2 linked regions of the Caenorhabditis elegans genome follow. The protein of the gene in region 2 interacts with the protein of the main gene of each other region in a pairwise test. Each region holds a gene or a part of one and is shown on either strand. Other genes may lie near its edges.

The links.
Region 1: the proteins of lmtr-2 (region 2) and lmtr-3 interact in a two-hybrid assay, tested with the Caenorhabditis elegans proteins (one large-scale study listed by BioGRID).

The regions. Positions count from the first base shown.
Region 1 is NC_003283.11:11,121,814-11,126,025, reverse strand, and holds lmtr-3 (Late endosomal/lysosomal adaptor and MAPK and MTOR activator 5), read right to left. Parts: upstream 1,724-4,212; 5' UTR 1,717-1,723; coding exon 1,617-1,716; intron 1,553-1,616; coding exon 1,460-1,552; intron 1,413-1,459; coding exon 1,168-1,412; 3' UTR 973-1,167; downstream 1-972. Other genes in the region: strt-7 (Phosphatidylcholine transfer protein), read right to left, coding at 1-219, 625-677, 724-762; atp-5 (ATP synthase subunit d, mitochondrial), read left to right, coding at 2,161-2,215, 2,303-2,613, 2,659-2,832, 2,877-2,912; mboa-2 (O-acyltransferase), read left to right, coding at 3,552-3,572, 3,618-3,730, 3,779-3,881, 3,973-4,156.
Region 2 is NC_003283.11:8,008,942-8,012,845, forward strand, and holds lmtr-2 (Ragulator complex protein LAMTOR2 homolog), read right to left. Parts: upstream 2,166-3,904; coding exon 1,982-2,165; intron 1,874-1,981; coding exon 1,683-1,873; 3' UTR 1,550-1,682; downstream 1-1,549. Other genes in the region: Y97E10AR.4 (SPK domain-containing protein), read right to left, coding at 1-134, 179-289, 385-780, 858-1,111; DNA-directed RNA polymerase II subunit rpb-9, read right to left, coding at 2,415-2,604, 2,657-2,785, 3,220-3,404; Y97E10AR.6 (BSD domain-containing protein), read right to left, coding at 3,700-3,798. UniProt on the Caenorhabditis elegans protein: Regulator of the TOR pathway, a signaling cascade that promotes cell growth in response to growth factors, energy levels, and amino acids. May activate the TOR signaling cascade in response to amino acids.

The sequences.
Region 1 (4,212 bases), 3.1 Mb from region 2:
CGTCTACGGAATGCTAACATATCCTTCTCTTCGTAGAGCAACTCCCATCCTTTTCCAGGTGTCTTTCGATGAGCAAACTCCTCTTCACAGTTTTCACATTCTGCGATTCGATCATCACTGATTCCATGATCTCGAAATGTGAATCCGGCTGTAGATGCAGCTAGAGCAAACTTGCCGAAACGTCGGTCTCCACGGTAGAATGAGTAGGAGTACAGAACGCTAAAAAACAATAATTTGAATAGGACTGCCCTTTTTTATTTTTTGGCAAAAAATGGTTTTTATTTTGGTTGTTTTAAAAAATTTTAATTTTTTAGACATGTTTGAAGCGAAAAAAAAAGTTTTATTTTTGGTTTTTATTTTTTTTATTGAAAAAATTGAATTTTCGAATTTTGGACTAAAATCTACGCTTTTTTTTCATATTTTACAAATCTTCTTAAGCAAAATATGTTTTAATGGTTTTCAATGATTTTTTCTAAAAGTTCAAAATAAATCGAAAATCGACTTTTTTTGGGTTTTATGGTCACAAATTCCAATTTGTAGTTCTTGGTCCAAAATCAAAATCTGTTTTTTTGTTTTTTGGTAAGACTTTTTTGGTCCTACTTCACTCCATAATAGTTGACTTACGCTTTCGTCTTGAATCGTGACCAATTTTGACGGAAGTTTCGATACAGTGCAACCTAAACGTATTATAATTGAACACACTTCAATCAAAATATTGTTTACCTGTTTAAACAAAAAACTGCTCCAATTTCTGTTCAGCATATCTTTGTTTGATAAGACTTACTTTATTGCATTCGAGTAAATCTAAAAGAAATGATTGAAAAATGATTTTGATCAGTACGGTCAGTGAAAAAAAAACGATCAGAGTGATTGATCTATGCTATAGTCAGTTCACGTTAGAGATGTATAAAATAGATAGTTTTTGGCAGAAACCAACGAGAAAACAGGCATGTTCTGTAACCACGGATCTTTCAATTTAATTTTATTCTTGATGAGAATCAATAGAAAACTGGGAAGGTTTTTACAGGAAATACGGTTATTGGGTATGATAATTTGAAAACAAGAAAAGTTAGATTGGTTTTTTAAGATTGGCATGAACTTGAAAAGCTGAGTAAAGATATCGAATCATGGAATCACAGGAAAATGAGAGCAGCCACCACATAATTATTAGTCGAAATCTGGGGGAGGTGCAGCTGCAGAAGGGTACGATGGTGGTGGTAAAAGAGCATCTCCATCAATTGGTGGGCAAAGTGACATCATATGACTGCCGATGGGAAATAATTTCTCACGCAAAGAGAGCATGGCGCCAGTGTTCGTGTTGGTTCCAGCGTGAACAATGAAATAATACTTGTCAATAGAATGAACAGCAATTTGGTGGGACTCGTACAATGCAAAGGTTGTTTGATGACCTCCTAAAACATAACTGAGTAGAAATAAAAATGAGAAGTCAATAACTAACCCATGTCGAGTTTGTGAATTTGAGGGATTGTTGTCACGTGACTGACAATCAGCTGTTGCCTGAATCTAGAATTATCCAATGTCGATGGAAGACCTGAAAAATGGTTATATTTTTAAAGTTTATATTAATTATTGGTTTTATTGATGAAAATACTTACCGATATTCAGAATGAGACCTCCATCGTGATCAGTGATGAAGATTGCGCAGACCCCCTCATAGGTAAGCATAAGCTCTTCGAGCTCTTGTTGGACGTTCATCATTTTACTGAAACAATGTCTTTTTTGTTTTTTTTTTTAACTACAGATACCACTAAAATAATCAGCAACATAAGGAAAATTCTTGAATTGATAAAATAAGAGTAAAAATCTGAAATCGGTTTTGGTGGCCGAGTTTTGTCCCGAGGGCCGATAAAAATGGCCGAGGAACCCGAGAAAACCGCGCCGCACTTTGCGTTTTCACGGGCGATAGACTCCACCCTTTTGAACAGAAAATACTATTTTTTGTGCTTTTCAGCTGTTTTAGCTTATTTTTCAGTTCATTCCGTTACTTAAAAATTGAAAACAACTCAAAATAGTTATTCTATGTTTCTTTGTTTGTGAACGATTCAATTTTCCTGCTAATTAAGCATATTTACTTTTTATTTTCAAAAATCGTTTTCCTGTTAATCTAAATAAGGTTAAAACATCACAATTTTTATAGGTATGTCTGGAGCCGCTAAGAGGGTAGCGACGTCTTCCGTGAACTGGTCGAAGCTCGGTAAGTTGTTTAAGTCACAAGTTACGGTATTTTACGTATGTAATAAATAACTTCTCCACAATTTAGTGTTTTAACTTTTAATTTCAGCCGAGCGTTTGGTCCCGGAACACGCCGCAGAACTCACCCGCGTGAAGGGAGTCAGTGGAACTTTCCAATCCGCTGTCAGCCAGCTCCCGGCCGATCTTCCCAAGATCGACTTTGCTGCTTTGAAGAAGGCCCTCCCGGCTCATTCGGCAGTTCTCGATTCTCTTCAAAAGCAGTATGAATCTGTAAAGATCCCATACGGAGAGGTTCCAGCCGAGTATTTGAAGGAAGTAGACCAATGGGTTGATTACAACAACGCCCGTATTAAGCTTCATGAGGTCAAGGTCGCTGATGGACTTCAGGAGGCCAAGAAGGTTATTACTTTTATTTCGAAAAGATTTTTAATATTCTTTTTCCAGGTGGAGGAAAAGTGGGCCAAGGCTCCACCAGTTGAACATTTCGATCGTCAGCATTTCGTCGAGTATTTCCCAGCTCATTTCTATGATCTTCGCTACCAGAACAGAATTCCTGATCCATGCAACATCGGACTCAACGAGACTCCAGAAATTGAGAACAGATTCAAGGACTACAAGGTGGAGAAATTTACCAAATTATAGTCATATTTATTAATTTTCAGGTTCTTCGACGTGCCGACAAGGTTGACGACCATTAAACGATTTATCATGATGTACCGTTCAGTAGACAACTCTCGTTCTTCCTTATCGCTCTCCTACCATTTTTAAGACCATTTTGATTTGTTTTGTAGCCGTTTGTTTTATAATTTCGTCGAATTTTTTTATGTGCCTGGGAGCTTATGCAGTCGATACCCCCTTCTTCAGATTATGTATTTCATAAGAGTGATGGCAAGATAAAGAACTTTCGCATGTTTCCTTTATATTATATGAGAATTTCTTTGCAATTCGCGCGAAAAGAATCTGTTGGCATCATTGATTACCTTCGATGATCGGATTGAAGATATCAAAACAAGTTTTTTCTTTTCATGTTAAAACCAACTAATGAAGTTGAACGAATATTTCCATAGTTTCAATTAATGTCAGTGTATTATGTACATTGAATTCGGATTCCATGTAAAGATCAAGAATTGGCGTGAAGTGCACTATTGTTCTAAATAAGTGATAGATCACATTTAATCAAGAGGCGCCAGACGCGTTGTCTCTTATCTTGATTCGATAAATATGAAACAAACAGACGGAGGCACGACAGGCCTGACTTGTTATTCTTTTCCGAAATTTTTTTGCAGTTTCTTGATTCTTCTACATTTAAGAATTTCAGGGTTACCTAAGTATTTCTGATGCAAATGCGTCAACAAACGGTTAGTTTTATTATTTTCTAAAGTTTTTTTAAAAACTAAATTCAGGGACGACGGCGGCGTCAGCCTTCGGAAACATCTAATGGTTCTTTGGCTTCCAGTAGACGCTCCTCATTTGCACAAAATGGTAATTCGTCAAGGAAAAGTTCAGAAATGAGAGGGTATAGAAAAAAGCTTTAAACTTGTGTGAATAACTATTTCATTTTTGGACCTTGCGAGAAAGTGGTACATACTGCTCAAGATTCATTGTTTTCGACGAGTTCTGGATGGACAAATTTCCGTGGATTCTTCAATTTGTCTATTTTACTTTTGGTTCGTAATTTACTCGTTTTAAAATCTAGACTATTTCTAAATGTTGAATTTTCATTAATCTTCTTTTTATTCCTCTATAACCAAATTTCAGGTACTTTCAAATGGACGCGTGGCACTTGAAAATGTGATCAAATATGGTATTTTGATAACACCCCTTCAGTGGATCTCAACGTTTGTTGAGCATCACTACTCAATTTGGAGCTGGCCAAATCTTGCTCTCATCCTATGCTCAAATATTCAGATTCTCTCGGTTTTTGGAATGGAAAAAATTCTTGGTAAGATTTACACTGAATAAAATAAAACCAAAAAAAAATAGACTTCCAAAGTTAGT
Region 2 (3,904 bases):
CACGTGAATTACGGTTCGACGTGTCATCCTTTTCTCGCCGTTTTTCGATAGAGAACTTCAGTCCAGAATCCCATTCATGATAATCCACAAGTCGTCGCTTTCCGTCGAGCTTAACATCGGCGATAACACTCAATCTAAAGTGAAAAATATGATCAGGAAAAAATGAAGATTCACTTACATCTTCCACAATGTGTCGTAAACCGGGATTCCCAGAGAAAATGCGATTTTGGCTTTCGACGACGGATCCAGATCAGATTTATGCAGATTGAGATACATTTTCTCACAGTAACTGAAATTTGAGAATTAAATTGGCTTTTAAAAATTGTTTTGGCATTTTGCAGCCATTAGGAAAATACAAAACGAACATATTTAAAAAAAACGTACTGTTTGTATATAGTTTCTATTCTTTTCGGAGAAGATACTTTCTTTCTGTAGTCTTTCCACAATAGATATAAACACGGCATATCATGTGGATGGATAACTTCTCCAGTCTGCGGATCATGAATTTTCTCGTTTAAAAAATCCCACATTTCCGAATCCTCTTCGCTGCAGTAATTATGGTCCATATTTTTTCTGCTCTTATGTTGGAGACAAAGTATTCCATTATATTGAGCGAAGTATTCGATTCGATTCATCTGATCAACTTTAACATCGCCTTCTTCCTGCAAGTCACGCAAAAAACCTTCTTCGACGGGGATTCCGAGAGCAAAGTATAGCTTCAGCTTCGTCTCGCATGAAAGGCACGCTGAGTGTAAACTTCGGACCATCTCATTGAAATAACTGGAAATTGAAAGTTAATGTGAATAAAACAATTTAGAGTTTTTCTCTGTGAATAATTTCATCTCTCCACGACTCACTGTGATCTCAATCGTCGCACTTGTCTCACCGAGCCGGTCTTCGTCCGAAAATCCTCCCATAATGCATTACTGTCTGGATCAACATTCTTTTTGTCAATGTTTGCTGATTCATCATGAATTTTATTGTACAAAAATGTCCAAATTGCATCTTCTTCGATCCATGAAATCGGTGATATCGTCAATTCAGTCTCTGTGTAATCTGCATGACCTCTCGGGCCCAATGAGAGCACCTGACCTTCTTCAGTGAATGGCATCTGCTGGAAAGCAAAATAATTGATAATTAAGAACACTGAAAACGAGTAAAAAAAGCGTACTTCGAGGTGAAGATCAAGGAAAAATGGAGAAGTAAAGAAGAAAACAGGTTTTTTGAGGGAATATCGATCGATATTTCGAATATTTTATGGATAAAATAATAATATTACAGAAAAAATCGTTCCGACGTTTTGCGACGTGTCGATTGGTAGAAAATAGGACGTGTCGCACGGACTACAGTACTCCTTTGAAATCGTTGCGAGACCTTCAACCAAACGGCGGGCTTTTTAAAGCCATATTAGAGTTCTAAAAAATTAGAAAAAAACTCGAACTTTTTCCCTTTTGAATATAATTTCTCCTGAGCAATGCACTTTCATGATCATCAATTTTCATCAATTTTGTACAATTAAATGAATTTCATGTTAAAGAATAAGTATTTTATATTTTAAAAGTTCTTAAAAAAAACAAGAATGGCGTGAAATGATCTATTCATTGTTAGTAAATTGGAAAAAAATAAAATGGAATTTGGATGGGATGAATGAGACCCGATAGAAATATAAGATAATACATCGATCATCCCAAATCGTGAGAAATTGAAAGAATCGGCTGCTCGAGGTAGGCGGCCAGTGTATGAAGCTTAGCGCGGACCATTCCCAAATCGGCACTCTTGTCGGCCTTGACTGCCAGAAGCATTGTACGAGCGACGAGTGTGCAACCAATTACTCCATTCTCCAGAACGAGAATAGTTTCTTTCAGATCGTTGGCTGTAATTACAACTTGATCGAGGTGTTTGATTTCAAACTTTGAAGAATGTGAACTGGTAATTTTCCAGTTGAAATAGACTGATTATGAGCATGTTTTAAAAAATCTACCTCTTCTCTCGAGAGCAGCCCAGACACTGGCTATAAGTGCAGATGAGACGTTTGATGCAACGGCTTTCTGTTCGCTTCCGACGTAGGCAAGGAGCAATCCTTCCTTATTGAAAAGCCACGAACCATCAACACCGCTTGTGTTCACCTGTCCGAGAACATCAACCAGCGCTTTCTGTTTCAGCATCTATTTTAAAGTTTTGGATTACGGTTACTAGTTAGAAAGTTTTAATTTTGAAAATAACCAAAGAGTACGGTAAAAACCGAGAATTAGAAAAAATATAATCGAAAAATTGAATGATGATTTGAATTTATTGGAACAGGTAGGGAACATATGGAGATCCGAAAAAACATTATTTTAGAAATAAGGAATAAAACAACAATTGACGATTAAGAAAACGTTTCAAATAAATAGAAAACAATTGGACACTATGTTTTATTCCGTCCATCTGTGCTGACAATCTTGCGATGCACATACATAGTACAATCTCATCTCTTCTTCTGCCTTTTTTGTTTGAGCCTGGAAGAAGACAGCCTTACTTTTGCCACAGACTGGACATTGATGTTCTTCAGTCTTCGGGAGCGTTGGATCGTGAATAATATCTCCGACGATTTGAGTGAGCTCACTGAAATAATCCAATTGATTTAGAAAATGAGTCAATTTGACAATGAACTTACTCAATTTCGTGAACGAGCTTATTCACATAGATACACGGGTTAGCGGCGACTTCACGATGCTCACAGTTCCGGCAGGAATACATCAAAACTCGTGATTCCTTATCCTCTCGTGGGTACAGCATATTATTGCTGAAGTTTAACAATTTTGATGTTTTTTTTCAAATTTTCATCATTTTGTCTTTATTATTAGCTTTGAGCCAGAGGTGGGTGCAATTTTCTTTCGGCAATTCTACAAAATGGCATATTGCGCCATTTTGTTCCAACATTTTTAGTTTAAAATTAGTATCAAAATATAGTAATTCAGTTGATTTTACTGAAAATAACATTATTTTCGGCTGAAAAACTTCAGAAAGTGCTTAAAAATGGCATGCAAGTTACCGATTTTCAAAAAAAAAAACAAAGCTCGATAATGTTCCAGCTGAAAATGATATTTCCAGTTAAATCAATTTAATTTCAATATTTTCACACTAATTTTAAATGAAAAATGTTGAAACAACAAGGCGCAATCGGCCACTTTGTGAAATTGCCGGAAATAATTTCCTAAATAATATAAAACTAATTACCATTCTGGGCAAAACTTGATTCCAACAAAACCAGGCCCACTTTTCCCGGGTTTTTCGTTTTGACTCGGCGCCGGTGATGCACCGTTTTGATCGTACATATCATCGTAATTATCATACCCTTGGCTCATCTTTCTGAAAAAATATGATAAAACATTTTCAAGCTTTGATTTTAATTGCAGATACATTAGTGGAATGGAAAACCACAAATAGCGAATCAAAAATGTGGAAAATAAAATAAAAATGCAATTTTTATTTACAAACCAACAGAGGAGAGATAAGATTATTCGAAGAAGGAAAACCGACCTTTCTAACTTTGTATATACATATAAAAAAGAATTCCATAAAATAAAGAAATGGGGGAATGATGCTAGCCATTTGATTCTAGAAGCTTTAAAGAGATAGGAGTGACAGTGGAATTATTGACAGGAACATGTAGAATATCGAAAAAGAAGTGAATTTAGTGAAAAAAGAGCATTTGAATTATTCATCCCAGTTAACCCATCCTTCTTCTTTCTTTTCGCTTTCAGGTCGAGGTGTCAATGGTCCCTTTTCGTCATCTTCGTCATTTGATGGAATTTCCTATAACTAGTTTGACATTGCTATCGATTTTCAATAATTGGGCAGCACTTTTAATAACATTTGGTGCAAATTTTTCGAAAAAAAAATTATGGTTCAGCGACAAAAC